Linked DNA regions of Arabidopsis thaliana. The protein of the gene in region 1 interacts with the protein of each later gene in a biochemical or structural test. Each region holds a gene or a part of one and is shown in the gene's direction. Other genes may lie near its edges. The genes, in order: PEN3, SLY1, MSRB3 and WNK4.

Evidence for each region.
Region 2: the proteins of PEN3 (region 1) and SLY1 form a complex in vitro, tested with the Arabidopsis thaliana proteins (one study listed by BioGRID).
Region 3: the proteins of PEN3 (region 1) and MSRB3 form a complex in vitro, tested with the Arabidopsis thaliana proteins (one study listed by BioGRID).
Region 4: the proteins of PEN3 (region 1) and WNK4 form a complex in vitro, tested with the Arabidopsis thaliana proteins (one study listed by BioGRID).

The regions. Positions count from the first base shown.
Region 1 is NC_003070.9:22,032,797-22,042,782, forward strand, and holds PEN3 (ABC-2 and Plant PDR ABC-type transporter family protein), read left to right. Parts: upstream 1-1,626; 5' UTR 1,627-1,864; coding exon 1,865-2,702; intron 2,703-2,784; coding exon 2,785-2,915; intron 2,916-3,191; coding exon 3,192-4,454; intron 4,455-4,540; coding exon 4,541-4,697; intron 4,698-4,776; coding exon 4,777-4,881; intron 4,882-4,960; coding exon 4,961-5,106; intron 5,107-5,190; coding exon 5,191-6,032; intron 6,033-6,120; coding exon 6,121-7,048; 3' UTR 7,049-7,330; downstream 7,331-9,986. Other genes in the region: AT1G59865 (uncharacterized protein), read right to left, coding at 204-501; AT1G59885 (uncharacterized protein), read left to right, coding at 9,512-9,802, 9,921-9,986. UniProt on the Arabidopsis thaliana protein: Together with ABCG37, regulates auxin homeostasis and responses by playing a dual role in coumarin (e.g. esculin) and in the auxin precursor indole 3-butyric acid (IBA) efflux transport, thus influencing cotyledons, roots and root hairs development.
Region 2 is NC_003075.7:12,560,208-12,565,846, forward strand, and holds SLY1 (F-box family protein), read left to right. Parts: upstream 1-3,071; 5' UTR 3,072-3,450; coding exon 3,451-3,906; 3' UTR 3,907-4,275; downstream 4,276-5,639. Other genes in the region: AT4G24204 (RING/U-box superfamily protein), read right to left, coding at 1,862-2,241, 2,346-2,415, 2,522-2,608; VEP1 (NAD(P)-binding Rossmann-fold superfamily protein), read left to right, coding at 5,012-5,050, 5,140-5,639. UniProt on the Arabidopsis thaliana protein: Essential component of the SCF-type E3 ligase complex, SCF(GID2), a complex that positively regulates the gibberellin signaling pathway.
Region 3 is NC_003075.7:2,436,706-2,442,908, forward strand, and holds MSRB3 (methionine sulfoxide reductase B3), read left to right. Parts: upstream 1-2,814; 5' UTR 2,815-2,868; coding exon 2,869-3,083; intron 3,084-3,811; coding exon 3,812-3,968; intron 3,969-4,073; coding exon 4,074-4,232; 3' UTR 4,233-4,500; downstream 4,501-6,203. Other genes in the region: AT4G04790 (Tetratricopeptide repeat (TPR)-like superfamily protein), read right to left, coding at 134-253, 375-473, 595-690, 789-902, 985-1,092, 1,202-1,266, 1,355-1,534, 1,624-2,229 and 2 more; MSRB4 (methionine sulfoxide reductase B4), read left to right, coding at 4,707-4,804, 5,442-5,598, 5,698-5,862. UniProt on the Arabidopsis thaliana protein: Catalyzes the reduction of methionine sulfoxide (MetSO) to methionine in proteins. Plays a protective role against oxidative stress by restoring activity to proteins that have been inactivated by methionine oxidation. Involved in cold tolerance.
Region 4 is NC_003076.8:23,581,779-23,589,417, forward strand, and holds WNK4 (with no lysine (K) kinase 4), read left to right. Parts: upstream 1-3,010; 5' UTR 3,011-3,726; coding exon 3,727-3,786; intron 3,787-3,860; coding exon 3,861-4,126; intron 4,127-4,203; coding exon 4,204-4,427; intron 4,428-4,504; coding exon 4,505-4,662; intron 4,663-4,741; coding exon 4,742-5,051; intron 5,052-5,121; coding exon 5,122-5,421; intron 5,422-5,505; coding exon 5,506-5,903; 3' UTR 5,904-6,023; downstream 6,024-7,639. Other genes in the region: AT5G58330 (lactate/malate dehydrogenase family protein), read right to left, coding at 1-33, 152-245, 337-509; AT5G58340 (myb-like HTH transcriptional regulator family protein), read left to right, coding at 829-1,878, 1,965-2,155, 2,271-2,334, 2,426-2,467. UniProt on the Arabidopsis thaliana protein: May regulate flowering time by modulating the photoperiod pathway.

The DNA.
Region 1 (9,986 bases):
AACCATAGCTTGAACATTGTGGAGCCCAAATGAAAAGGTATAAGTTGGCTGCAAAAGATACAAATGAAAACTGTGGAAAAATTCTTGAAGACTGAGATAAGTACACACTCAAAATGAGTTTTTCAATTCTAAGACTATGTGGGAACAGCGAGAACTTCAGTTGTGTGGAAAATTGGGAACTTGGCAAAGTGAATTTGTCTGACCTTCAGGAAAATGAGAAGAAGAAGAAGCATGTATGAAAAATACACTTAAGGAACTTGAGGAGAAGAGTGAGGATTTGTAGGAAAGAGTTGGAGAAGCGGAGACTGGAAGCATGAAAGTCGAGGCAAAGAAGGTTGCTTTAGAAAACAGAAAGCTCAGAGCAATGAAGGTTTTTTCTCTTGAAAAACTCGATAACTTGTCAAAGGTATATGAAAGCTTGGTGGATACAAGTGAAGCGTTTTTAAAGCAAGGCAAGGATTGGAGAAGGTCTTGTTGATATGTCAACCATAGCTTGAACATTGTGGAGCCCAAATTAAAAGTTATAAGTTGGCTGCAAAATATACAAGTGAAAAGTAAGGAAAAATTCTTGAAGACTGAGATAAGTAAACACCCAAAATGAGTTTGTCCATTCTAAGACTGTGTAGAGACAGCGAGAACTTCATTTGCGCGGAAAAGTCGGGAACTTGGCAAGGTAAATGAGAATAAACTGAAGGAACTTGAGGAGAAGAATGAGGATCTGTAGGAAAGAGTTAGAGAAGCAGAAACTGGAAGCATGAAATTTAAAGGAAGCTTGTTGGTCAACGAAGTCAAGCCAAAGAACATTGCTTTAGAAAACTCAGAGCAATGTAGGTTTGTTCTCTTGAAAAAATCGATGAGTCGTCCTCAAAGGTAAATGAAAACTTGGAGTATAAACTGCAGACTGAAGAAGACCGAGAGCTTAATTGACAAAGAAACCAACCTATAGAGCATTACTAAAGAAGCTGAGAAGAGCTCAGGAAAATGAAATTTGCTGGCTGAAGGAATGAATTAGACATTGGTTAATACACAAAATGCAGAGCACTAATCAAAGATTAGTTGAGAAAATAGCCAAACGCAGAGTTTAAGAGGAAGTCAATGGAGTCTTCTTATCATAACAACATTGAGGAGTTGTCACTAAAACTTCTTATTCCGGGTATTTAAATGGCTTCTTCCTCCGCAACTTCTCACTTTCCAGAACACAAAGACTTATAAACAAACCATCCTTCACGTATGTGTTGAATTGAAATGTGAATGTGACTTCATCAACACAATGACTTCAAAACCCAACGACGGTCTTCCTTTCTTTTCTCACCAATAAAATGTAGAAAAGAAACAAAGTACACAAGAAAGACTTTTCATTTAACGATATCTCCACTAGTAGTAGCTATAACTAAATGGGGTCATCGTTATTGACTTTGAATAAGAAATGTTCAAACACTTCAATTATTACATAATATCTTTGCAATAAAATAACAAACGTTAAAGAGCCGTCGCATTATTAGCACAAAAAATATCTTTTGTAAATAAAAAAACAACGTAAAAGAGCCGTCACATTTGAATAATAAAACCCATCTTGCACATAAAAAACACGACTTTTTATTATTTTTGATTATTTCAACAAAGTATGAATAGTCAACATAAAGAAAAGTCCGCCTTGATGTTCCTTCCTCACTCCCTATTTATCCATTTTCTAATCCCACCCTCTTCTCTTCATTCATCATCTTCCTCCTCTCTCTCTTCTCTGTATCACCCAACTAAATCCTCACGGGATTAGATCCAAAGTCTCAAACTTTGATCCAAAAACACAAACTTTGTTCAAAAGACATAAACTTTGAGCCAAAGTCACAAGCTTTCTTGGTGAACGATGGATTACAATCCAAATCTTCCTCCTTTAGGAGGAGGTGGTGTTAGTATGAGAAGAAGCATAAGTCGAAGTGTAAGCAGAGCAAGTAGGAACATTGAAGATATCTTCTCATCTGGTTCAAGAAGAACACAATCAGTCAACGACGATGAAGAAGCTCTTAAATGGGCTGCCATTGAGAAGCTACCAACTTACAGTCGTCTCCGAACCACTCTCATGAACGCTGTAGTCGAAGACGATGTTTACGGTAACCAGCTCATGAGCAAGGAGGTTGATGTAACCAAGCTTGATGGTGAAGATCGTCAGAAGTTTATTGACATGGTTTTCAAAGTAGCTGAGCAAGATAATGAAAGGATCTTGACTAAGCTAAGAAACAGGATCGATAGAGTTGGTATCAAACTTCCAACTGTTGAAGTCAGGTACGAGCATTTGACGATTAAAGCTGATTGTTACACTGGTAATAGATCTCTTCCTACACTTTTGAATGTTGTGAGGAACATGGGAGAGTCTGCTTTAGGTATGATTGGTATTCAATTTGCTAAGAAAGCTCAGCTTACGATTCTTAAAGATATCTCTGGGGTTATTAAACCTGGAAGGATGACACTTTTGTTGGGTCCTCCTTCTTCTGGTAAGACCACTCTTTTGTTGGCTTTAGCTGGGAAACTTGATAAATCTCTACAAGTCAGTGGTGATATTACTTACAATGGTTACCAACTCGATGAGTTTGTTCCGAGAAAGACCTCTGCTTACATTAGTCAGAACGATCTTCATGTTGGTATCATGACTGTTAAGGAGACTCTTGACTTCTCTGCTAGGTGTCAAGGTGTTGGTACTCGTTATGGTAAGTAAAAGATTCAATCTTTAATCATATCTTTTTTTCAAGATTCAGTTTTGTTGAATGGTTTTGATTCTTGTTGTTGTAGATCTGTTGAATGAGCTTGCGAGGAGAGAAAAGGACGCTGGTATATTCCCGGAAGCCGATGTTGATCTCTTCATGAAAGCTTCTGCTGCTCAAGGTGTTAAGAACAGTCTCGTCACTGATTATACTCTCAAAGTGAGTCCAACTCTCGCCTTAACTTAGCTCATCTTGTTCTTTTTGTTTCAAGAAGAGTGTTTGTTACTAGGCAAGCAACTCATAAAATCGAATCGAACTAAATCGTTTTTTATAAACCGAAACTGAACCGGAATTTATTCATTAACCGTTTGGTTTCATTATTTTAGAATATTGATATAAGTTTTCATATTCTAAAAATGTTCTAGACAATCTTTTCTCATGTTCATAAAGTTTTGAGTCTTTTTTTGTATAATACTAACTTTGGCCGTGTAACAGATTTTGGGGCTTGACATTTGCAAAGACACAATAGTTGGAGATGACATGATGAGAGGTATATCTGGAGGTCAGAAGAAACGTGTCACAACTGGTGAGATGATTGTTGGACCTACTAAGACACTCTTCATGGACGAAATATCCACTGGTCTTGACAGTTCCACTACTTTCCAAATCGTCAAGTGTCTGCAACAAATCGTTCACCTCAATGAAGCCACGGTGCTCATGTCTCTCCTCCAGCCTGCTCCTGAGACTTTTGATTTATTCGATGATATCATCTTGGTGTCGGAAGGTCAGATCGTGTACCAAGGACCGAGAGACAACATTCTTGAGTTCTTTGAGAGCTTTGGGTTCAAGTGTCCTGAGAGAAAAGGAACAGCTGATTTCCTGCAAGAGGTTACTTCCAAGAAAGATCAAGAACAGTACTGGGTGAACCCGAACAGACCTTATCACTACATTCCGGTTTCAGAGTTTGCCAGTAGATACAAGAGTTTCCATGTTGGGACGAAGATGTCTAACGAACTTGCAGTACCGTTCGATAAGTCTCGCGGCCACAAAGCAGCTCTTGTGTTCGATAAGTACTCTGTCTCAAAGAGGGAGCTTCTCAAGAGCTGTTGGGACAAAGAGTGGCTGCTTATGCAGCGAAACGCGTTCTTCTATGTTTTCAAGACTGTCCAGATCGTCATCATTGCTGCAATCACGTCTACACTCTTCCTGAGAACCGAAATGAACACAAGAAACGAGGGTGATGCTAATCTCTACATAGGAGCATTGCTATTTGGAATGATCATCAACATGTTTAATGGGTTTGCGGAGATGGCTATGATGGTTTCAAGACTCCCTGTGTTCTACAAACAGAGGGATCTCTTGTTTTATCCATCCTGGACCTTCTCACTTCCCACTTTCTTGCTTGGGATTCCAAGCTCAATATTAGAATCGACGGCTTGGATGGTGGTGACTTATTACTCCATTGGTTTTGCACCTGACGCCAGCCGCTTCTTCAAGCAGTTTCTTCTGGTGTTTCTGATTCAACAAATGGCTGCATCCCTCTTTAGGTTGATTGCTTCTGTGTGCAGAACCATGATGATTGCTAATACTGGTGGTGCTCTCACTCTACTTCTTGTGTTCTTGCTCGGAGGCTTCCTTCTTCCGAAAGGCAAGATTCCTGACTGGTGGGGTTGGGCTTACTGGGTATCTCCTCTCACCTATGCTTTCAACGGTCTAGTAGTCAATGAAATGTTTGCTCCCAGATGGATGAACAAAATGGTAAGTGGCTTACTTCTTTATTCTGCATTTTACAAACAAATATCATAGTAAAGCCGCCTCTGAGTCATATTTTTTTCAAATTACAGGCTTCTTCTAACAGCACAATAAAGCTTGGAACTATGGTGCTTAATACTTGGGATGTCTACCATCAAAAGAACTGGTACTGGATTTCAGTTGGAGCCTTGCTTTGTTTCACAGCCCTCTTCAACATTCTATTCACCTTGGCACTTACCTATCTCAACCGTAAGTTCTCGTGTTGTATCACCCGTTTTACCAAATCTAAAAACAATAGACTACTAATAATGTACCTTTGAAACTACAGCTCTTGGGAAGAAGGCAGGTTTACTTCCAGAAGAAGAAAATGAAGACGCTGATCAGGGGAAAGATCCAATGCGTAGATCTTTGTCTACTGCAGATGGGAACAGAAGTAAGTAAACACATTTCTTAATCTGCTTAGATGTTTTGCTTTTCTTGTACTCTTGTCTCATTCTGCTCCCTGCTATCAGGAGGAGAGGTCGCAATGGGGAGAATGAGTAGGGACTCTGCGGCTGAAGCATCAGGTGGTGCAGGCAATAAGAAAGGAATGGTTCTTCCTTTCACTCCTTTAGCTATGTCCTTTGACGACGTCAAATACTTTGTTGACATGCCTGGGGTAAGTAACTATCTTCACTTAAAATCTTTACACTAAATTAAATATGAATTACTTAAACTAAATAGATATCTTTTGATGGTATAGGAAATGAGAGACCAAGGAGTTACAGAAACAAGACTCCAACTGCTTAAAGGTGTGACTGGTGCATTTAGGCCAGGAGTTTTGACTGCGCTTATGGGAGTGAGTGGTGCCGGTAAGACTACGCTTATGGACGTTTTGGCCGGAAGGAAAACAGGTGGATACATTGAAGGAGATGTGAGAATATCAGGATTCCCAAAGGTTCAAGAAACATTTGCTAGAATCTCAGGATATTGTGAGCAGACCGATATTCACTCCCCGCAAGTAACAGTCAGAGAATCTCTGATTTTCTCTGCTTTCCTTCGTCTTCCTAAAGAAGTCGGCAAAGATGAAAAAATGATGTTTGTGGATCAAGTGATGGAATTGGTAGAGCTGGACAGTCTTAGGGACTCCATTGTTGGTTTACCGGGTGTCACGGGGCTTTCCACGGAGCAGAGAAAGAGACTGACAATCGCGGTGGAGCTTGTAGCCAACCCTTCCATCATCTTTATGGATGAGCCAACTTCAGGGCTAGACGCTAGAGCAGCGGCTATTGTGATGAGGGCGGTAAGGAACACAGTGGACACTGGAAGAACCGTGGTCTGCACCATTCATCAGCCTAGCATTGATATCTTTGAAGCATTTGATGAATTGATGCTGATGAAGAGAGGAGGACAAGTGATTTACGCGGGTCCATTGGGTCAAAACTCTCACAAGGTGGTTGAGTACTTTGAATCTTTCCCCGGAGTGTCCAAGATTCCAGAAAAGTATAACCCGGCCACTTGGATGCTCGAAGCTAGCTCACTCGCCGCTGAGCTAAAGCTTAGTGTTGACTTTGCTGAGTTATACAATCAATCAGCATTGCACCAGTAAGTTTAAGTTCCTTCTTTTCCATGGCTCATTGCATCTGATTGATTGTTTAAGTAATAGTACTAATGAATACATAACAAAATGCAGGCGAAACAAAGCGTTGGTAAAAGAACTAAGTGTACCACCAGCAGGAGCATCAGATCTTTACTTTGCTACACAATTCTCACAAAACACATGGGGACAGTTCAAATCATGCTTATGGAAACAATGGTGGACGTATTGGAGATCTCCAGACTACAATCTTGTCCGTTTCATCTTCACATTGGCAACATCTCTCTTGATTGGTACAGTCTTCTGGCAAATCGGAGGTAACAGGTCGAACGCAGGGGATCTAACAATGGTGATAGGAGCATTGTATGCCGCGATTATCTTCGTGGGAATCAACAACTGTTCAACAGTACAACCGATGGTTGCAGTGGAAAGAACAGTGTTCTACAGAGAAAGAGCAGCAGGAATGTACTCAGCCATGCCATATGCCATCTCTCAAGTCACTTGTGAGCTTCCCTATGTCCTTATTCAAACCGTTTACTACTCACTCATCGTCTACGCCATGGTTGGTTTCGAATGGAAAGCCGAAAAGTTCTTCTGGTTCGTCTTCGTTAGCTACTTCTCATTCCTCTACTGGACTTACTACGGCATGATGACTGTTTCCCTCACACCAAACCAACAAGTCGCTTCGATTTTCGCCTCAGCGTTTTACGGTATTTTCAACCTCTTCTCTGGTTTCTTCATTCCAAGACCCAAAATCCCAAAATGGTGGATTTGGTACTACTGGATCTGCCCTGTTGCATGGACCGTGTATGGATTGATAGTGTCGCAGTACGGTGATGTGGAGACACGTATCCAAGTCCTTGGTGGTGCTCCTGACTTAACCGTCAAGCAATACATTGAGGACCATTATGGTTTCCAATCTGACTTTATGGGACCAGTGGCGGCTGTACTCATCGCTTTCACCGTCTTCTTCGCCTTCATCTTCGCCTTCTGCATCAGAACTCTCAACTTCCAGACCAGATAAAACCATCTCTCAAACAACAAAGTCTCTTTCTTTTTTTGTATCCTCTGTGTTGTTTATATGCACTATAAGCTTTGTATGTTCTAAATATGTATTGTAGTGTCATAACGAAATTTTTTTGAATATTTTTATTTATTGTCTTATAGATGATGACGAATCGGAATCATGTAATATAATTCCACTTTTTTTTGTGTTTATATCCACAAATCCCTCAAAGTCCATTTTTGTTTGTTTCTTGAGACTTTTTATTTTACGATACTTCCAATAAGAGGAAGAAGACAGAAAAAAAGTGTGATCATATCCATTATCAAAGAAGACAAAATCAATGGAGGATAAGTTAATGTTCTTCATGATTAAATCTTGATAATTGTATAACATGGTTCTGTAAAAATTATCACAACACAACACCAATATCATAAAGTTTAATGAGAAATCTCAATAAATCAGTTTTTCTAAATATAGAAAAGTCTATCTTACAACGACAAAACGATTTTGAATTTTGGATTAAATCACCTAAAATTTCCTTAAATCCTACCAAAAGTCCTCCCAATCAAATTTCCATTTAATCATACCCAAATGTTTAGGCCAATACACCACCCTATATCTTGATCATTGCATAATATGGTTTGGATTCCTAAATTGATCCGTTCAAAATATTTAGACCCTTGTCATCTTATATAGCATATGATATAACCCTTTCTTCTTACTGGGCCTCGATGAATTATTTATGAAACCTGGCCCATTAGGAATTTGAAGAAAAAAATATTTTAGGGGCGTTCCGAGAATTGAACTCGGGACCTCTCGCACCCTAAGCGAGAATCATACCACTAGACCAAACGCCCGTTGTTGAACATATGTTGGATAACAATATATATATATTATTATATAATTTCAATGATTTCTTATTTTGGCCAAATTATTCTAGTTAATGCAAATTTATAATAAAAATATCATCAAAAATATTTATTAGAATATTAAATCGAATCAAATGTAAAACAATGTTAACCATCTGATTTGAACCTACGTTTGTAATTCTCACTCTATATCATCAAAATAACTTTATTTAGATAACACTTCAACTCGTTAATTATCCATTATGTAGATCAAATAACTTAACTATTATATGAAATCATACATGACCAAGTTCTTTTTACACTAGGTCTATATAGAAAACAATGTGAGATTTAGTATTATGCAAAAAATAAATTGAGTCTCTTTATACATCATCAATAGAATAACATCTATATGATAAAAAAAATTGTATGAACATTTACCAATATATTAAATCATCATTGATACGTTAAAAATAATATTAAATTTTGACTTGAACATTCACTTTGACGTCTTACTATTTTAAAATCTCATTAATACTAGTATTTATTTTTGTTATAGAATATCATCAAATGATCTTAATATATAGATAGATGATCAACTCATTATCCATTATGTAAACGAAATAACTTAATCTTCATATAGAAACATACGAGTAAATTTTATTTTTAATTTAACATACATATATGAGAAAGACGTGAGATTGTATATACTGCAAAAAATAAATTGAATCCCTTTGTACATCATCAATAGGATAACAAGTATATGATAATAATTTTGTCGAAATGCTTACCCACATATTAAATCGTCATTGATATGAATAATGTTAATTATTGGATTTTAATATACACTTGGAATTCTTATTATTAGTAGTTAAAAATCCCACTAGCACGGATCTTATTTGTTATACGCAAAATATAGTAAAAAAAGAAGCTACATATTTAGATTCATGTAAAAATAATAACCACATAAGACAAATTTATGTAGTAGAAAAGGTTGAAACAATTTTGTACAACTTTTAAGAATTGTCAATATAAACTAAAGCTTCATATTAGAAAAAATTGTTTTTATTTTCCAAAACAAAACCAAATTTTCATTAGAATATATGCTGTAATTAGAAAGTGTCATTGTATTCTTGCTTTTTCTAATTCAGTCTTCTTATTTTTGCAGGAGTTCACTAACAATAGTGATCACAAATCAACCAACATCAAAATTACACTTATCAAATAGAACATGAATCTAAAAAAAGATAAGAATACTAACAAAATCGAAATAAATGAGAACTAAAGCTCCTCACATCCTTCTTCTCTGCACATGTCAAGAATATGACGTATATTGGCGGTGGCGTTGATACACCAATTTGAAACCAACCCTAAACTTAAAAAAAGTTTAAACGAGATGAACACCTCTCTATTTAGGAGCTCGTTAATATCTTGCTTAGACGTCACATGAGATTGATGGTACATGTCATGGAGTAAAATAAAATCTTCTCTTCTCTGTGTCTCTGATGAGGTCATGGAGTATGGGTAGCTTTATGATAAAATAGGAACTTGTTTCAGAGTATTTAGAAGTAAGTTATTTCTATTTTCTATCATGAAAACATTTCCCAATTTTGAATATCTTTTATATACTCTCATGGCTGTGTTTATCAAGATCATCAAAGGCGTTTTCTTTTTCCCCACCAAAGGCTCCTTCATCACCACCAAAGGTACCATCAAGATCAAATCAAATTCAAATGGTATCAATGGCTCCTTCTTTCACCTCACTACTAATGACTTTTTCTTCTTCACCACCAAAAGCCTCTCCTTGCCTCTCCTTGCCACCAAAAGCCTCTCCTCGGCTCTCCTCGCCACCAAAAGCCTCTCCTTGGCTCTCCTCACCACCAAAGCCGAATCGTTTGCTCTACTTACCACTATCACCAATAAAGTCAGTTATGTGTTTCAAAACAAACGAGGAAGGGGAAATAATAGACTTCTTTGATATATTTATTGACCATTTGGTCTCAAAGAATCATCACATCCTTACCTGAAGAGAGAGCGTGAAGTATGGTTATTGGGTTGAGTTGGCTTTAGAAGCACTGTTTGATATTGAAGTTGAGTTTGAGTCTAGT
Region 2 (5,639 bases), on another chromosome or scaffold:
CATAGTACCAAAAACAAATAACTACAATATGCAGGACAACTACACTATACCTTCTAGTGACCGTGACTGATATTAACAGGAATACAGCGACTTTCAAATTGATGGTACAGACAAAGGACAACAAAAATTGTAAAATCTCCCAATCTCAGAAACTATAGAGTACATCTATTTAAAAATCATGCCAACCAAATCCCAGGTCCAGGATCAAAACCCTAAAATTGAGAAGAAGAAAAAACTAGCAAAATTCAACACATGTGGAGAACTATACGACAAATAATATGAGATTAAGCCAATTCAATGAATAAGATTCCAAAGATCAATTCAAAAAGTGATTAAAAAATTGAAGACAGATGACCAAATGAATACCACTAATAAACCCTAGGCGAATTTCAGAGCTATTCATCATTGTAAAAAGAGAGAGAGGAATATAGAACTCACCACGAAGCACAAGGAAGACGAAACCCTAGGTCAAGCGAGTTAGCCGTTCCGACAGAACCGATGCGCACTCGCATATCCCAATCTCTTTCCTTGTCCCTCTGTGTATATATATGTGTATATATCTCTCACTCAGTTACGATTTATCACAGGTTTTTTAAATCTCCGGGCAACGATGGTTGGCAGCTCTGAGAGAAAACCTCGTTCTTCTTCTTCTTCGAGGAAAAGGTTGTCGCGAAAACGAGAGAGAAGAAAAGGCTTTTTCTTCGTTTATTCTTTTTGGCAATAAATATTTAATAACTAAAAATCTTATGAAGCGATTGGTGAATATTTATTTTTTTGCTCAATTTCGTTTGCGTTTTTTGATGAAAACTGCACGTGCTAAGCGTGTGAAGAGTGAATCGGTAGGGACTCACGGCCCGGCTCATTATGTACCAACTTGTGTGAGTCAACAAGAACCCACCCATATGGTTCCACCACAACCCATTTTTGCGGAATTCTATGGGGAACAAACAAAAATCAGATAAATTCCGTGAATATCCTAATCCATAATATAATAATTAAGATTTTTCATATGGTTAAAATATGTTTTGAATTTTTTGTTATATTTGCAATATGTTACTTTGTAGAGTTTTCTTATGTAGACCTTTAAATTTATGAAAGTAGTTTTTTATTTTTATGATTTATTATTTGATTTTAGCATGGTAAATATTGTTGATACATTCTAAAATACCAAATACTAAATTTATAAGAACATATACACTATAGCTCAAAACCCAATATTTTCTTTCTTCCAATTATAATCCGGCATAAACTATAAGGTGGTGTTATTCAATCATGGATTTAATAGAACTGAAATTTAACACTAATCCAATGTTATTCAATTAATGATTCTAAACTATACTTTAAAATCTGTTGTTATGAAATCTTTACATTTGTAAATCATGCTTACTAGAATCTATAATTTGGTGTTATTCAACTAAGATTTTAAATACTTTCATTAACATCCAATGTTATGAAACTCCGAAAAAATTTCATTTCAAATGGCTCAAAATAGATTTTTAAAAATAATTTCAAATTTCAAATCTAAACTTTACAGAATTGATTTTAATTTCATGATACACCCCCAAAAACGCAAACAGTTGGCATGATAAATACAAATCGGTTTACCGAAAAAGAAACAAATCCAAATGCTAGTGTGTACATTGGCATGGAATTGTCTTTGTTTTTGGTTGTTAAAGAATTGCATTGTTAAATTACAGATTGTATGGAATTATAGTCTTGTGGTGACACCAAAGATACTCGGATCTTTCTTTCACTTGTGTCGCTGAAAACTGAAAAGAACAAATAATAATAAAACGCAAAGCAAAGGGCGTTTCTTGGAAGCATGAGTTCGCAAAATGGTGATTAGGCAAAGCAACGGCGCTCAAAGCTTTTTCAACACTAATCTCTTTGATTTGCGTATCACCCTTCGGCAAATCGGACACACCTTACTTTCTTCCGACAAGATCCTTTGAGCACAGCCGCGACAAGTGGCAGAGTGACCACACGGTACAAAGAAACAGTTTCTACGTTCCTCGAAGCATATAACACACAGTGTCGAGTAGTCCACATCATCCGACGAGCTAAACGACGCCGTTTCTACATCTCCCTTCCCCGTTACCTCCAACGACTCATTGATCAACGGCGGCGTCCAATCGGTGGTGACTTCTTCTTCTGCCACCAATGGTAGCCTCTGTGTGTCATCCTCCATGTCACATTCGCTCAGGAATTTCAATACCAAATAAGTAATCGTCATTATTGTTCCTGAGAAACAATAACAAAAACAAAAAAACAAACAAATTAGCTCTACATTGAAGATAAATAGTACTCCATATGTTAATTATATAAATATGGGAGAAATATAGTACCCAAAACTGTAATATAAATCACCACTCTAGCTGAGAAGGATAGCCCCAAGTACCATCGAACGAACTCATCCTGCAAAATACAAGTTACTCGCATATATATATTAATCCATGGTTTCGTCAAGTTTTTTTTTTTATATAGAAAATTGAGTAGAGCTAGGAGCTAGAGGGGTACTCGCGTTATCCGATGGTAACTTGATGGAATTTAGTTTACGGAAGAACATATATAGAAGCTGCAGACATTTTGAGATCGTGGCATCGAACATTTTCGAGAGAAAAGAATGATCCAGTGAAGATAGAAATGATTTGTTCTCATCTGAAGTTATATTGAATTTCTTATTGTTTGTTAGAGAGCATTAAACAAATGAATTTCTGATTAATTCCAAGCAATTGTCATCACTCTGACAGTATATATAGATTGTGTCAAAAGACTCGTCGTGCAATCCATATTTATTAATTTGATCAGAAAAAGAGGCAAAATACAAGTTGCTGACACAAACTTAAAAAGAAAGGTACAGTACAATTTCCTAACTCTGATTTAATAATACCTATTTGTTAAAAAGGACAATTCAAGTGAGAAAATGAAAAGGCACCCAAATAATTCACTCTGTTTAAGTCCTAAACGACTGATTCTTTTATCTGAAAATACGTGATGCTAAATTAGTCAATAGTTGAAATAAGATTTAAAAAATGGATTATCCGTTAATTCACAAAAATTCCTAGAGGTCTCTCTGGTACATTCAATGAACACTCTTTTTAATAGTTGAAAATAAACATTTGGGAAGAACTAAGAAGAAACAACATTATAAGATGGGCTTGGGCTTTTTGTTGTATTGTTTTTTATGTTTTACAATTTTATTTAACAAACAAGATGACAAAAAAAAAAAAAAGGACTCCAAAAGTCCAAAACAGCTATGGAGTATATGAGGGTAAAGTCGTCATTTTACAAAAAGCATTTTTATCTTCGTTTTGTCGTCTTCGAAAGTTCTCAAAGAGAAGGCATCTGAGAAACCCCAATCTCTAATCTTCTTTTCAATTCAATACTTTTTTTTCTCAATCTCTCCTCTCAAATCAAACAACTTTGATTGATCTTCGCAATCGATTCCACATGAAGCGCAGTACTACCGACTCTGATTTGGCCGGTGATGCTCACAACGAGACAAACAAGAAGATGAAGAGTACAGAGGAAGAAGAAATCGGATTCTCCAATTTAGACGAGAATCTAGTGTACGAGGTGTTGAAACACGTCGACGCAAAGACCTTAGCTATGTCATCTTGCGTGAGCAAGATCTGGCACAAAACGGCACAAGACGAGCGGCTTTGGGAGCTGATCTGTACTCGTCACTGGACTAACATCGGCTGCGGGCAGAACCAGCTCAGATCTGTTGTGTTGGCGCTTGGTGGCTTCCGAAGACTCCACTCTCTTTACCTCTGGCCTCTCTCTAAACCCAATCCGCGTGCTAGGTTCGGTAAGGACGAGCTTAAACTCACTCTTTCTCTTCTCTCAATTCGATACTACGAGAAGATGAGTTTCACTAAGAGACCTCTTCCAGAATCCAAATAATTGACTACAAATTATTAGAGTTTGGTTTTGGAGTTTGTGTATTTGGAGTTTGTTGATTGGTAAGTCAGATGTGATGTTCAATGCTGGCAATAAAATTTGTTGGTATCCATAAGCCAGACTGTTAGCAACAGTTGTGTTCTGTAATAATAGAGGGTGATGAGAATTTTTAATTACTGTAATCGGAGCTGATTAAAAGTAGATTTAATATCAAATGTGATTCGATTTTGTTGTAATGGTTCTGTCGTGAAGTTAAGTTGGTCCGTAGTTGGACAATGATTGTAACAAAATCGATTCGTGATCCAGTTTGGTAAGATTAAGAACTGTTAGTGACGATTCTGTTTTATTATTCAATGAAAAACAATGTTCACCAATTTGGTAATAAACCTAACATTCACCACTTTAAGTCCAAACCGGAATCAACGTCAAGCTATGTAATGTTGCTTATTTCTTTATGTCCTTCGTTTGTAACATTTCCCGGTGGTTACTACTCTGTCGGATCCAGTTTTGCCGTCTAGTTTTTACAGCGGTACGATAAATCTCAAATGTTGTTTGATTTGGTTATTCTTGCGATGGTTAGCCTTAATTTCGCTAGATTTATGTGTATTTGAGTGATAGCTACAAGCCTACACATCATTACCATGTACCACCATCTCCTTATTCAAATCAGAATCATTATCGCCGTAACCACTTTTGTCATTTTCTTTTTTTATATGTCGGTAAAGAAAGAATAATGAAATAAAGAGGTGTAAGTAAGAGTCAACAAAATAATTTAAGAGCTTGTGTGAATTGATAAAAACACTCCTTTTCTGTTCTTGGTTTTATATGAAATTTATAAACAAACTCGAGTGATTACAAAGAACTTATAAACCACTTATGTGGCATACTAAAATTTAACAAAAAAAAATGTTTTGCGAAAAATAAGAAGATTTTGTTCATCTTTTTTGGTAAGATGCCAGTTTAGCTAAAGATATTTTTCATATATAAAAATGACAATAAACACATTACAAAAGACAAACCCCACACGGCTCTCTCTAGCCAAATTACTTGGCCACGACCATAAACACAAAACACCGCTTAGCTTCTAAAATCTGAACATCGAGAAAAAATGAGTTGGTGGTGGGCTGGCGCCATCGGAGCTGCCAAGGTAAATTTCAATTCAATCCTTCAAATCATATCCTCCGATCTTCATCTTCAACTGATTGAAAATCATCTCTTTAATTTGTGTACTCGCAGAAGAAACTCGACGAAGATGAACCATCACAAAGCTTCGAGAGCGTCGCTCTCATCATCGGCGTTACTGGAATCGTCGGAAACAGCTTGGCGGAGATTCTCCCTCTTTCCGACACACCCGGTGGTCCATGGAAAGTCTACGGCGTCGCTCGTCGTCCTCGTCCTACCTGGAACGCCGATCATCCGATCGATTACATCCAGTGCGATGTCTCCGACGCCGAAGACACAAGATCCAAGCTTTCCCCTTTAACCGATGTCACACATGTCTTCTACGTCACCTGGACCAATCGTGAATCGGAAAGTGAAAACTGTGAAGCAAATGGCTCAATGCTCCGTAACGTTCTCCAAGCGATTATCCCATACGCGCCAAATCTCCGACATGTTTGTCTCCAGACAGGGACAAAGCACTACCTTGGCCCTTTCACCAACGTTGACGGACCTCGTCACGATCCACCGTTCACTGAGGATATGCCGAGATTGCAGATCCAGAATTTCTATTATAC
Region 3 (6,203 bases), on another chromosome or scaffold:
AACATATTTCTCACTCATAATACACAAAGAAAGAGAGTAGAGATATTTTGTAGTGGCGTTGACTTGACACGACTCCAAGTTAAGAAGAACAAGTAGACAAAAGATCTAAAGAACAGAAAATTCTGAATTTTACCTTAGTAATAGCGTCCTCCTGGGTACAGTTGTTTATTAGATAACCAAAAGTTATGGAATCAGGTTTAACGCCAGCTTCCTTCATTTGCTTGACGACCATTAACGCACTACTCACATTTTTCTTCAAAACATACAAAAGCCATCAGCTGAAAACGATCTAAGAGACGTTGGGAGCTCACAGAAACATGGACAATCTCTCAGGTCAGAATTTGCAAACATGAAATGGGAGCTTAAGATATTACCTCCCTAAAATATCCAGCCAATATACAATTGAACATGCTAGAGTTTGGTTCCAAATTGAAGTTCTTTAAATTACCAAGCATATTATATGCACCTTCAAACTGCACATGAAACCAAAAGATATAGAGAAACATTTTGTGGTTAGAGAAACAAGCGAAGCAGCAACTGTAAGAAACAGCACAGACATGTCCTCATCTGTAACATAGGGTTTGAGGAAGTTACATCTTTGATTCTTGTGCACAAACGTATAATGCTCCGGAAGTTCTCAGTATTAGGTTTCACACTCTTTGTGCACATAATTGAATGGATTCTTCGCACCTTAAACAGCAAAAGTATGAGGAAATCCGTTTCATATATGAGCAGAGTTCAACTGTATATTGTCTGGATATAGATTCAAGCTAAATGAGGATGCACACCAAATCAAACTCAAGAACTTCATCAATGGCATGTAACAATGAATGTAGGATATCTGCGGATATCATCAAACCTGCTTCACCCATTTTTTCAACTACATCAAGAGCAGTGACTACCTACGGCACAGAGAGAATACTCATTATATATAGCACACGAAATACAGCCAAATTTATTATAAAACAAGCATAATAGGAATACCTCATTCGAGTCACAGCTATACTTAACAAGCTTTTCGTACGATGTAGATGAAGGCATAACATCAAGTTCTTCATGCATCTTGTTAAATTTTAAGATTGTATCCTCAACCTTTAATTGTAGAAAACCAGTAAAACATGGACAATTAGGAGGCATCGATTATCTAACCAAAGACTTTAACAACACTAATCTGCCACTAATATTCATGAGAAGTCCTTACCGTTGGATTTGGGGTGCAAGTAGAATAGATAGAGATGAGATCAGAAACGTTCTTCACTCCTTCATCTACGCATGTTAATGAGAAACATATAAAACATGCTATAAAAATGATGTTCTACAGGCATAAACATGTTATTGGACAATGCAGCCTTACCACTTTCTCTTAGCTCCCAAAGGAATCTACTCGCAACAGAATCCAATGAAAACCTCCCAAGATATTCAAATATGTTTGCCAATAGGTCCGACGAACGAACTTTTGTTATGTCTACAATCTCTAAGAGCCTCTCAAGATGGTACTTTTGGTCTTTTTTACATAGTGCAAGCAGATAATTTTCTGTTTTTTTAAGGATCAAAAAGGTTAAATCTTTCAGAGTAAGAGAGAGCCACAAAACAACAGAGTGCACAAAACTGAATATTGCTTACCTTGCAAGACTGATAAGCTTTCACCGTTATCACCATCAATTGTACTGCAAAGTTCCTCAATCTTCTCTCCATCACCAAGATGGATCCAAAGAAGCATTTCATAGTAACCAAGTCTCTCAACGGAACCGGGACTAGCCTCCCTAATCACATCCTTGAAACTATGAAACTCATCTACCATATCCATACCAATCAAATAACCAAGAAGAGGACCATAAACTCTTTCTTCAATCAAAAATCCACGATCTCTCATAGATTTCAAAAGCTCAAAAGCCTTCTCAATATGGCCAAGAGCATAATCTAGATCATTGCTTTTCTCAGCATGCTCTAAGTAAACACCAATCATTGCATTGTACTCTGTCACACTCATCTCTTTAGCTACTCTATCAAAAGCACCAAACATAGCCTCAGTGCCTAATTTCTGAGCAGAGTCTCTAAATATCTTAGCGAAACGCCGTGACAGACCGTTCTGCTTGTAAACACGTCTCTCTTTCCTTTCACGAGACAACTCTTTCGTTCTTAACGAAATATCATAAGGGATCTTAGTGGTGAAACTTGGTATCTTTAAAAATAAGTTCTTCTCCAAAGAGCTTTTATCTGATGTTGTTACTGAAATGTGATTCAAACTATGAATGAATGAGAGTTTGTTGAAGAAAATAGACAAAATTGGCAACACATACCATGTAACAATTTCGATACTCGATCTTGTAATGATGCTTCCTCAAGATCTACACACAATTTTGCATGAAATCAATCGAATTCTAAACATTACCCAGATACAGAAAAATATCAAATTTACAACGAATTCATTCTAAAGATCACATTTTTCTTATATTTGTTCATATCAGAAAATCCGAATTACCTGAGGAAGAGTTTTTGGAAGAGAGAAGATCTTTGACAGCTTGAGAAGTTCCGGCGATGTCTTTGTTGCCGGAAGCAATTGAAGATTCGCCGGTGGGTCTAATACGGGATTTGAAGACTGAACTTAATAAGCTTTTGTTAACCTTTGAGACAACCATGTTCGGATTTCAAGTGAGATTGAGAAGATGAAGAAGAGCAAGTTTATAAAACCCTGAACAAAAACCCCGACAGGGTTGTTCTATCCAATTTTAAACCTTAGGGGTGATAATTTAATCAATCATATAAATTAGGGGTAATCATGTAAATTAACAAGATTAGTTGAAGAAGAATCGTCAAATTTTGATTTTGTCTTGTGGATTCTTCAATTCAAAGATTATAAATTTATTGATGAACATCGTCAATTCAAAGATTCTCTTTTTATCATTCACGCTACTTCTTCTTCTTCAATCGTCAATCGTTGAATCCGATTCGATTTGCCTCTCTTCCGGCGTAGCTTCGACGGTGGCAATGGCGGCTCCGGGATCGGTTCAGAAAGGAGATGAAGAGTGGCGTGCGATTCTTTCACCTGAACAGTTTCGGATTCTTCGTCAAAAGGGCACTGAGTAAAGTTTTTAACCTTTCCTCAGCGATTTTCATGGTTCAATTTAGCTTTCAAAATTTGAGCAAATTTGGTAACTATCTTCCATTAGGAATCCTGGTTTTAGAAATCTAGGGTTTTTATTTCATAACTCGCTTAATTTGTGATTCTCAGAGTTAATAAAGGTTTGAACTTTTTTTTTTTTGCCAATTGTTGGAACATTTATTTTTCAGGGGTGTGTCTTGATGATGAGCACTATGTTGATGATTAGATCTTCTCTCTGTGTAGATTACATAGAAAGTTTCTGCTATAGATGTTGATCTGTTAGGATAAAGTCTATTCTTTTGAGTGATTGGAAACAATACAAATTTCCTGCTATTATAGATGTTGAGCTGTTAGGATAAGCTTACATGAAAGGTTATAGTTCTTCAAGGATACTATCTTTCATTACTCTTAAACTCCAGATGAGTTTGTTTTTTTTTCTTATTAAAGATAAGATCTGAGTATTGGTTTTACCAAGAATGTGCTACGACTTTAAGAGCTCGACTTTAGAACTTGGTTGCTCTGTCAGGTTTTGTCAGTTCCTATAGAGCCTTTACTATTATTAGCTTCTGTCTTAGAATGGATTGCTATGTAAATGACCATTAATATGTCTGAGTTCGTCGTTGGGGTTTTGGTCTTTCTAGTATTTGGATATCTTATTGAATAGGGAATGAATGTTTATATTGCGGGTTTGTGTTTTGTTGATTTCAGATATCCAGGAACAGGGGAATATGTCAACTTCGACAAGGAAGGAGTTTACGGTTGTGTAGGATGCAATGCTCCTCTTTATAAATCCACCACAAAGTTCAACGCTGGTTGTGGCTGGCCAGCTTTCTTTGAAGGAATCCCCGGTGCCATTACCCGAACGGTAAAGAAAATACTCTCAGAGCACAAACACTTTTTTCATCAAATTGGTAACAAAAATGAACTCTCTCTTCTTTGTGTATTTTGCTTACATTTGTTGGTTTATCAGACAGACCCAGATGGGAGAAGAATAGAGATCAACTGTGCAACATGTGGTGGACATCTTGGTCATGTTTTCAAAGGAGAAGGTTTCGCTACTCCAACCGATGAACGCCATTGCGTGAACAGCGTTTCGCTTAAGTTCACACCCGCAGCGTCTTCCTTGTAAATCTTGGCCGAACAAGATTATTTGTTCTTTCTCTGGATTTTTTCACTCAAGTGAGTGGGAGAAAAACAGAACAAGAATCTTGTATGAGTGTGTGTGTCTATACTGTGTACTGTATTTTTTCTTTCATGACTATTTAAATTCATCACCTCGAGCATTTTGACAACAACTGTAGTCTGTAGTATGTATGATTTGTAACTTGAATAAAACACACTCTTGTCTTGTAATACAAAATCTATACTATGTTACGCATCTGTGAGACTCTATTGACACGTGCATGATACACCAGTCTAAAGATTCACAACAGTTTCATATGAATCTAGACTCAAAACTAGGAACCATACATCACTGAAATTATGTACAAATAGATCACTGTAATGATTCAAGAACCTACCTGATCATTACGCTTGCTTGCCTCTGTTAATATTTCAGCTTCTGGTTACTCTCTGTTGTAGTAGCTTCTTCGTGGTGGTTGTCATGGCGGATCTTGTGACGGTGGTTAAAAAAACAGAGGAGGAGTGGCGTGCAGTTCTTTCTCCTGAACAGTTTCGGATTCTCCGTCAAAAGGGCACTGAGTAAGTCTTTGTTTTCTTTATAAATTTGGGTTTAGGGTTTCATAGTTTGTGATCTCAAGTTAGGCCTTGTTGTTTATGTACTCATATTTTGAAAGATTGGATTCAGAAGATTGTTGATTTTTGATAGGTTCACTATGTTGTTACCTTTTCAAGGATAAGCACTGTAATTAGGCTTCAAGTAATCATAGACTGAATCTTGAAAACAAAATTAGGGGAAAATTGGATCTAGATGCACATCAAACAAGTGTAGTGTTGCTTCTTGCTTTTGGTCTTTGTTTTGATTGTTTCAAACGCGGTTTCTGCAAACGGTTTGCGTTTTGCGTTTATGTTTTCAATTAACAAAGTCTTTTTAGCTTAGAATGCTTAAGATTGTTGATTTATTTTGAAAAGAAAAAACTACACTAAACGCAATCGCAAACAAACAGTAACGACCTTAAACCCTAAACCCTAAACCTAAGTGTTTTATTGGTTTTCTCAGTTACTATAGAACTTTGTTTTTAGATTTATCCAAGTATAGATTGCTCCTTCTTTTGTTACGATTTTTGGGGTGATTTATTTCAGTTCTTACTTTGAAACATAGTATACAAATGCATAATACAATTCAATCCAAGTGTTCTTATGGTTAAAAATATTTCAGAACGCCGGGAACAGAAGAATATGACAAGTTCTTTGAGGAAGGAATCTTCAGCTGCATCGGATGCAAAACTCCTCTTTATAAATCCACCACGAAGTTTGACGCCGGATGCGGCTGGCCAGCTTTCTTTGAAGGACTCCCCGGTGCCATTAACCGAGCCGTAAAGATTATCTTTTGTATGTTTAATTTAGTTTATTTTCATGACTACTGGTTAGTAAAACATTCTTCTTTTTGCTTGATTTGATTCTACATTTACCAGCCTGATCCAGATGGGAGAAGAACTGAGATCACTTGTGCCGTATGTGATGGACATTTAGGCCATGTTCATAAAGGTGAAGGTTATAGTACTCCAACCGATGAACGCCTTTGTGTTAACAGCGTTTCGATCAATTTTAACCCGGCCAAACCTTCCTCTATAACCTGAGGACTAGTTGATCGTACATTACTTTCAAATCAGATTGTGGTGTTCAATTGTAGAATCATCATCACGTTACAAGGATCAATGTAACAGATAATAAGAATCATTAGTGGTTCTTAAAATATGTCTGTTTAGAAAATATATATATATATATATGTATCCTGTTTATAACGACAATTCTCATTTTAATACATTTTAGTAAAAATGTTCAGCTTAATTTCCCCACTACAAAAGTTTCCACTAAAGAAAACAGATAATATCAAATTAATGGAATAAATAAGCCTAATTTTCTTTAAAAATTGTAATGTCATTTAATAATTATTGTGTAATACTAAGAAAAGATAGCC
Region 4 (7,639 bases), on another chromosome or scaffold:
AATTAACTTCTTCCATGATCTTGTCTCTTCTTCCTGGCAAACACACACATAATACTATTATATCCATGTAAAGCAGAGGATTATCTCAATTCTCAAGTCTCAAAGATAAGATTCTTTTATAGAAAAATAGTAAGAGGGAATAGTAAGATACAGCTTTAAGATCATAGGTGAGGCAGAACACTCCATAACACTCTTTCTTCGTCTTCACCAATCCATTTTCTTGCACAGCAACAGGAGCTTGGCTACTTTTATCATCAATTCACAAAAGCATCTAAGATCAGATAAAGTTGATTTATTTAAGAGAGAAGAAACGATTAGGAGCTTAAAGAGACTTACTTTTGAGAAACGGAGCAAGAGATTTTGGAGTTGGGAGTTGTTGTGTGGAGAGGTGGAAGAAGAAGATGGCGAAAGTGGTTTGAAAGGTGCAATTTTGAAGAGAGACGAAGCCGAGACGAAGAGTTGAGAAAAGGCGACGTCGTTTTGGGGGTTGAGAGCTCTGCCATGGCCATTATCGCACAGACACAAACTGTGAAAGTGAGATTTCAGAACTGGAACTATGGAGAGAGAGCGCGCCAAGCGACAGAGTAGTAAGAAAGAGGATTGGGGAATCTATGGATAAGGCTCAGCTCTTGACACTTGTCACTCTTTTAGCATCCTCACCGTTTATCTTCTTTTGACTTTTAGGCCCAGTTAAGGCCCAATAACAGAATATACCTGAAACCGTTCGAATTTGATCACTGATCGGAGATTTTCGTCTTCGCCGGCGACATTGCATCCGCTGACCAGAGAATTAAAAAAGTTGCGACTTTGATCGCGAAAGTTTCAATAATGGAGGTCATTGATCAATGGGTTGCTGAATTTTTCCTCCTTCGACAACACAATCCTAGGGCTTCCCCTATTAATCTGATTTCGGCGCTAAAATTAGGAGATTCCTCCGACTGCATAAAGCTCAAGATATCTTCCGTCTTGCGTGACATCTCCAATTCATTGATCCGAGGTACGATTGATGAGGGAATGCTCGATCTTCTCGAGATTCTTGAGAAGCTTCTCTTGCAGCAACATTCGCTACTCATGGATTCTCACAAGTCTGCTTATTGCTGGACGGCTACTGAGTGTACGCTTAGATTTATGTGGCCAATGTTTGCTTCGGATGGTTTGTTCACCGATGCGCTTGAGAGGATATGGACGAAGAGGATTGGGATTTTGAAGGAGAGTGGTAGCGATTTGGTGACTTGTGACTTGTTGAAATGGGAGAGTGATTTGAAGAAGGCCCTTGGAGATCCTGAGCTCTATCAGCGAATTCGTGAGACTAACATCAGGTACACTGCCATTTCCTTTCTCACTCAGCTTCTCAAAGAACAGTGGGCATTACTTGGGAGTTCCTCTCTTGAATCAGTAGCTCAAAGAAGGTTTCTTAAGCGCAAGGCTGTGAACGTAGAGGGTGATGTTGTTGACAACAGAGGGGATCAAAGTGATGTTGATGAAAGCACGAGACGTTTTGGGAGTGATACTATTGATATCGCCAACGAGGCGCGTGGTGAAAGGGAGGACGGGAATGGGATTGGTAGAGACAACGCTAATGATGGTGAAGGAATGGAATGTCTGGAGAATGATGGGATTGATAATGTGAATGCAGCAGACGAGGAGCACACAGTGAGTGCACAAGATCAGGAACATGAGCCAAGTCTTGATAAGGGAGACGAAATGGCTGCTCGAGAGCTGAAGGAATATTTAGTAGAGATTCAAGGACACATCGACCCTTCCACTAGGCAAGGGGAAGAACCTAACAGTGCAATTGATCACTCAGTAGATGTCACTCCTCCGCCTACTCGGGTGAATAGGACTGGAACAGGCTGTCAAGACCATAACGAAGCATCGGTGAGTGTTAGTCAATTTTCCCTCAAGATGCTTTCTAAAAATCTTGTTCTTTGGTTCATGAATTTGTGGTTTAATTGTGAAAACAGGATAATGTAAATGAGAAAGGTTCGGATAGTCAGGAAACATGGTCTAGCAGAGTTCGGCCTCGTCGACCAACCCCTGTAACTCTGAGTGTATCTCCATTAAAGAAAGGCGGATTGGCGAAACCACATGTCAGGAGACCAAAGAAATTCTGGAAGCCAGAAGAAGTGGAAGCTCTGAGGGAAGGAGTAAAAGAGTATGCAAACACTCTTTGCCTAGTCCCGTACTCTATTATCAATATTCAATAGTGATACATCTTGGACCTCATTAAGATTATACCACTGGCTCATTTTGTTGTTGTTGTTGTGCAGGTATGGTAAATCATGGAAAGATATAAAGAATGGAAACCCTACAGTATTTGCGGAGAGGACAGAGGTGAACATTTCCTTATTAACATTCATACTCACCATTTACTTGAACAAGATATATGCCAAGTGTGAGTGATGTAAATGTTGTAACTTGGTAGGTGGATTTGAAAGATAAATGGAGGAACTTAGTCGGTGGGTAGAGGTAACATCTTTTGTGAATCTTGTGCTATATGTTTTAAAATGCTGTAGAGTTATTTACCTTTGTGTATTGTGATATATCAACTGTGGAGAACATGGTGGAGAAAGGGCCATTCCCATGTTGTGTGGTGAATGATAATGATGAATGAGCAGAATATAATTATATGCTTGTGGGAAAAATTCTGGCTGCAACCTCTGTAGTCAGTCAGTGTCAAACTTATACGGCTTTTCTTGTTTTAGATATATTCCATCCTTATCTTCATTTCCTAATTCCTACCATGCTTCCCTCTCTCCTTTTCCACGTGTCAACTAACATCTAAACCAGAACAAAACAGTAGTCAAAAAATGCATAACCATTTTGATCTATGATATTGCCTGTCAAACATTCGGACCCTCCTTAGATATTGCCTGTTAACATTCAGACCCTCCTTAGATAAAAAGCGAAGTAATATGATGGGAGCTCTCATGCACATACTTTATTGGTGAATGCATATTTGTTACGTGTTATTAGTTTATTACAGAACCGTGAACTCCTTGAGGGCTGCAGGAACTGGCCGCCAACAAAAACAAAACAATTTTCAACGGTGATGTCACTATCACTCTATTCTCTACAACTTCTTGTCATGTTCCCCACTTCTGTTCTGACTTTTCCCCTTTTCTTTGTCGTTTTATTTTTGTTAACCTCAATCTATTTATTTTGGATTGCTTGTGTTCACCAAACTAATAATTGGTTCAATTGAAAATTGTGCAGTTTCCTCAAGAAACAAAACTCTTTCCTGAATATCGCATTTCCCAGTATCCACACTTTCTTAACTCTTATCCTCTTTGCAATTGTGTTTGTGGTTCACAAAATAAACAAGGGCATCTTTTGAGCATATTTAGCCATGTGTTTTCAATGTGGTACACGTTTGATGATTTTTTTTTCATTTTTGTGGTTTGAGTATCTTGTATTGGCAAGTAAGATTTGTCAAACTTTCGATTTTTAGATTTACAATTGGGTCAATAAAAATAAATATATGATTTTCTATAATATATGTGATGCAAGCAAGGTTAAGGCAAATTGTCTTTATTCTTTTTATCCCAAATGGGTGATTGACGCCAACGACTGTTCAACATATTTTCTGCTGACGCTTCTTTAATGAAGTAGCACGAAGAAGTAAACAGGACGACTTTTGGCCACCGGAAAATTTCTCTGTTATAAAAACGAAAGTCTGTGTCCTCTTAAACATTTTTGGGATCATCAATCGGTTTTTGGTCAACCATGAATATGAATCAAGTTGCAGAGTATGTGGAAACTGATCCAACTGGTCGCTATGGACGTGTAAGTAAGGAGACAGATTCTATGTTCATGGATCAAAACCTTGTTGTAACACTTGGTTTTTTATGTTGGAACAGTTTGCAGAAATTCTTGGAAGGGGAGCGATGAAGACAGTGTACAAAGCAATCGACGAGAAGCTGGGAATAGAAGTAGCATGGAGCCAGGTGAAGCTTAAGGAGGTTCTGCGTTCCTCTGTTGATCTACAGAGGCTTTACTCCGAGGTTCATCTCCTCAGCACTCTCAACCACAAATCCATCATTCGTTTCTACACTTCCTGGATCGATGTTCATAACCACACTCTCAACTTCATCACCGAGTTGTTCACTTCAGGGACCCTCCGACAGTAATTCGCTTAAACCTCTTCTTCTGACAAGATTATTCAGCTTTTGTCTTTTATGACCCTGTCCCGTTCATATGCAGATACAAAAATAAGTACTTGCGGATAGATATCCGAGCAATCAAGTCCTGGGCTCGGCAAATCTTGGAAGGGCTAGTTTATCTCCACGAGCACGACCCTCCTGTTATCCATAGAGACCTTAAGTGTGATAATATCTTTGTGAATGGGCATCTTGGACAAGTCAAAATTGGTGATCTTGGTCTTGCAAGAATGCTGCGGGACTGCCACTCGGCCCATAGCATCATTGGTATGTCTCAAAAATCGTTTGTTTTCACTTCTTGTCCAAATCATATGCTTAGACCTCTTTGTGTTTCTTTTGCATAGGCACTCCTGAGTTCATGGCACCAGAATTATATGAGGAGAACTATAATGAACTCATTGACGTATATTCCTTTGGTATGTGCTTTTTGGAGATGATCACCTCTGAGTTCCCGTATAGTGAGTGCAACCATCCGGCACAGATTTACAAGAAAGTTGTTGGGGTATGTCTTACAATCTGTGAGCATATAAATGAAGCTGTCAGATGAACCAGGCATGAGTCTTCTAATGTTCTCTTTTCAGGGAAAGCTACCAGGAGCATTTTACAGAGTTGGAGACATCGAGGCACAGAGGTTCATCGGGAAATGCCTCGTGTCTGCCTCAAAGAGAGTATCAGCAAAAGAACTATTGCAAGATCCATTTCTTGCCTCCGATGAGTCCTGGATGGTATACACGAGCGGTGCTGGGAATCCAAAGCCCTTCTTGAACGAGAATGAAATGGACACACTGAAGTTGGAAGATGATGAGTTAAGGACCGAGATGTCCATCGCTGGGAAGCTGGGCGCTGAAGATAACAAAATCGATCTGGAAGTACAAATCGCATATGATAATGGTAAATGGGACTAAATTGATTAAGCTGGTCACTTTGTTATTCGGTCGCATAATTGTTTTTTTCTTTCCAGGTCTGGCCAATAATGTATTCTTTCCCTTTGACATCATGAATGATACTTCCATTGATGTTGCAAAGGAGATGGTAAAAGAACTCGAAATTATAGATTGGGAGCCAGTCGAGATTGCTAAAATGATTGATGGAGCGATTTCTTCTTTGGTGTCTGATTGGAAGTATGAGGAAGATGATGAAACCCCTCATGATCATCATCGTCATCGTACCGATTCTTTTCACTCTTCTTCCTCGCACGCGTCATCTTCCCAAGCTTCACTCTCGAACTATATGGCTCGAGGCCTTCAAGATTGGGTACAAGGTATGGAAAGTAACACCAGTCTCAACGTGCATAGTGTGACAATTGTTTTTATAAAAGTTTTTGAGATAGAAATTAAAATTGCAGATGATTTACACGATGAGACGTATTCTCAGAGTTCTTCCCATTCAGGGTCTTACTCCAACCTCAACTACATAGCTGTTGATGAGTACAGCTCCCAATCTCCTGTTATGAGCAGAACTCACAACATGACGAGGTTTTGCCCCGAAGAAAGCTCTCATCTACAGTCAGGACAAGCCAACGCGTATGCAGCTTCCAGTTCAACTAACAGAAGCTTGGCTTCAGACAACCGCACACTTACAAGGAACCGATCACTTGTAGACGTGCAGAGACAGTTACTGCACCGGTCGCCAGGGGAAGAGGCTAGAAAAAGAAGATTGTTCAAAACTGTTGGAGACGTAGAAACAGTTGGGTTTCAGTCACCTTATGCGGTTTCACGGAAGCCACCAAGCTCAAGGCGCTAGCTTCTCCAGTATTTTAATTACTGTAATATATAAGTATACTGTAAAAAACAAGTTTGCTGGTTCAAAAATGTAAAAAGTACATGTGTTTAATAAAGTTGTTCAAAGGGTGTGTTTGTGTTACAGAGAAAGAGTCCTCATGGTGAAATGACTCAAATGTAACCATCTATACCAGAACAAACAGTAGTCAAATATAACCATTTTATCTATGCATGATATAGCCTGTTAAAACTCGGATCCTCCTTAGATACAAAGCTAAGTAAGATGATGAGAGCTCTCATGCACATATATATATGAAATGGTTGATGCCATATTTGTTGTCTTATTATTAGATATCTTACAAAAACATATGTGTTATGTTTTAATGACAATTTAGCTGACATAGAAGGATAGTTTAAAGTTTCTAGGTACGGTCTTGTCAATGCAAGTGATAGATGAGCTTCAAGTAGATGCATTGTAATCCAAGCCACGGAGAAACGCCATGTAGTCTGATTTGCCTAATTCAAAGTCAAGTAAAGCTGCTATTGGGTCGACATGTCCAGCTCCATAGTAGAGTATTTATTAGTTGGGTTTGGCTTTATCCACAAAAGCTCATTTTAAACCAGAACGATCTAGCATTTTGGCGTTTCAATAAAAAAATATTGCGTCGCTTTCTATTTTCATCGGTTTATTAAGGGTACCCTTTTATTAACATGGAACCATTTTTCTTTTTCAGGGAATATCTTCTTCTATTGTCTATTTTTTATAATGAACGTGTAATTTGAAAATCCTTAAAAATGTTTTTATAACTCTTTCAAAACTCTTAAAAAATCCTTGTAATTTTTTTTAAAGTCTTTTAAAGCTTTGTAAAGTTCTTAAAAATATTTGTAAATCATTTTAAATCCGCTTAAAATCTTTATAAAGTCTTTAAATACACATGTAAATACCTTTGTAAATCTTTGGAAAAAAAACTCTAAAGTCTTTAAATACACTTGTAAAATATTTGTAAATAATGTTTTAAAAGATTTTATAAGACTTTTAAAACGATTTACAAAGGTTTTTAAAAACCTTGTAAATTCTTTTAAAAACTCTTGTAAATCTTTTAAAACCATTGTAAAAGGTTTTACAAGGATTTTAAAATATTTACAAAGGTTTTTAAAGTATTTACATATGTATTTAAAGAATTTATAAGGATTTTAAGAGTTTTTAAAATGATTTACAAGGGCTTTTGACAACTTTACAAATTTTTACAAATTTCTTTTAAGAGTTTTTCAAGGGTTTTTCAAGAGTTCTTTAAAATTTACAAAGATTTTTAAATGCATTTTTGGGCGGGAAAAAAAGTTGGTACGGAGAAAAATTTTGGCAGGAAAATTTATTGGGCGGGAAATGTTGGTCATTTTGTTCGGGAAAATTTCAGATTTTGTCAACTTTAAATATCAAATAGAGTATAAAATCTCAATAAAATCAAAAAAAAATCTGAAATTTTCTTATAAAATTGTGTGTGATTATGGAAGATGAGTTCTCGCTTTCTACTATCATGAATACAATTGCTAAAATGAAAAATAATATGTATTTCATGCTTAAAGCATGTGAAAGATATGAAGATTTTATTTCTAAAAACAATAATAATAATAATAAAGTTATGAAGATTATATTCATCATAGGTCTAATTAGGCCGTTAGTGGAGATGATTTTGTACATTTTGGAATTTGAGACATATGAAGTAAACCGTATAATACTTTACTTTATTGACCAACCAC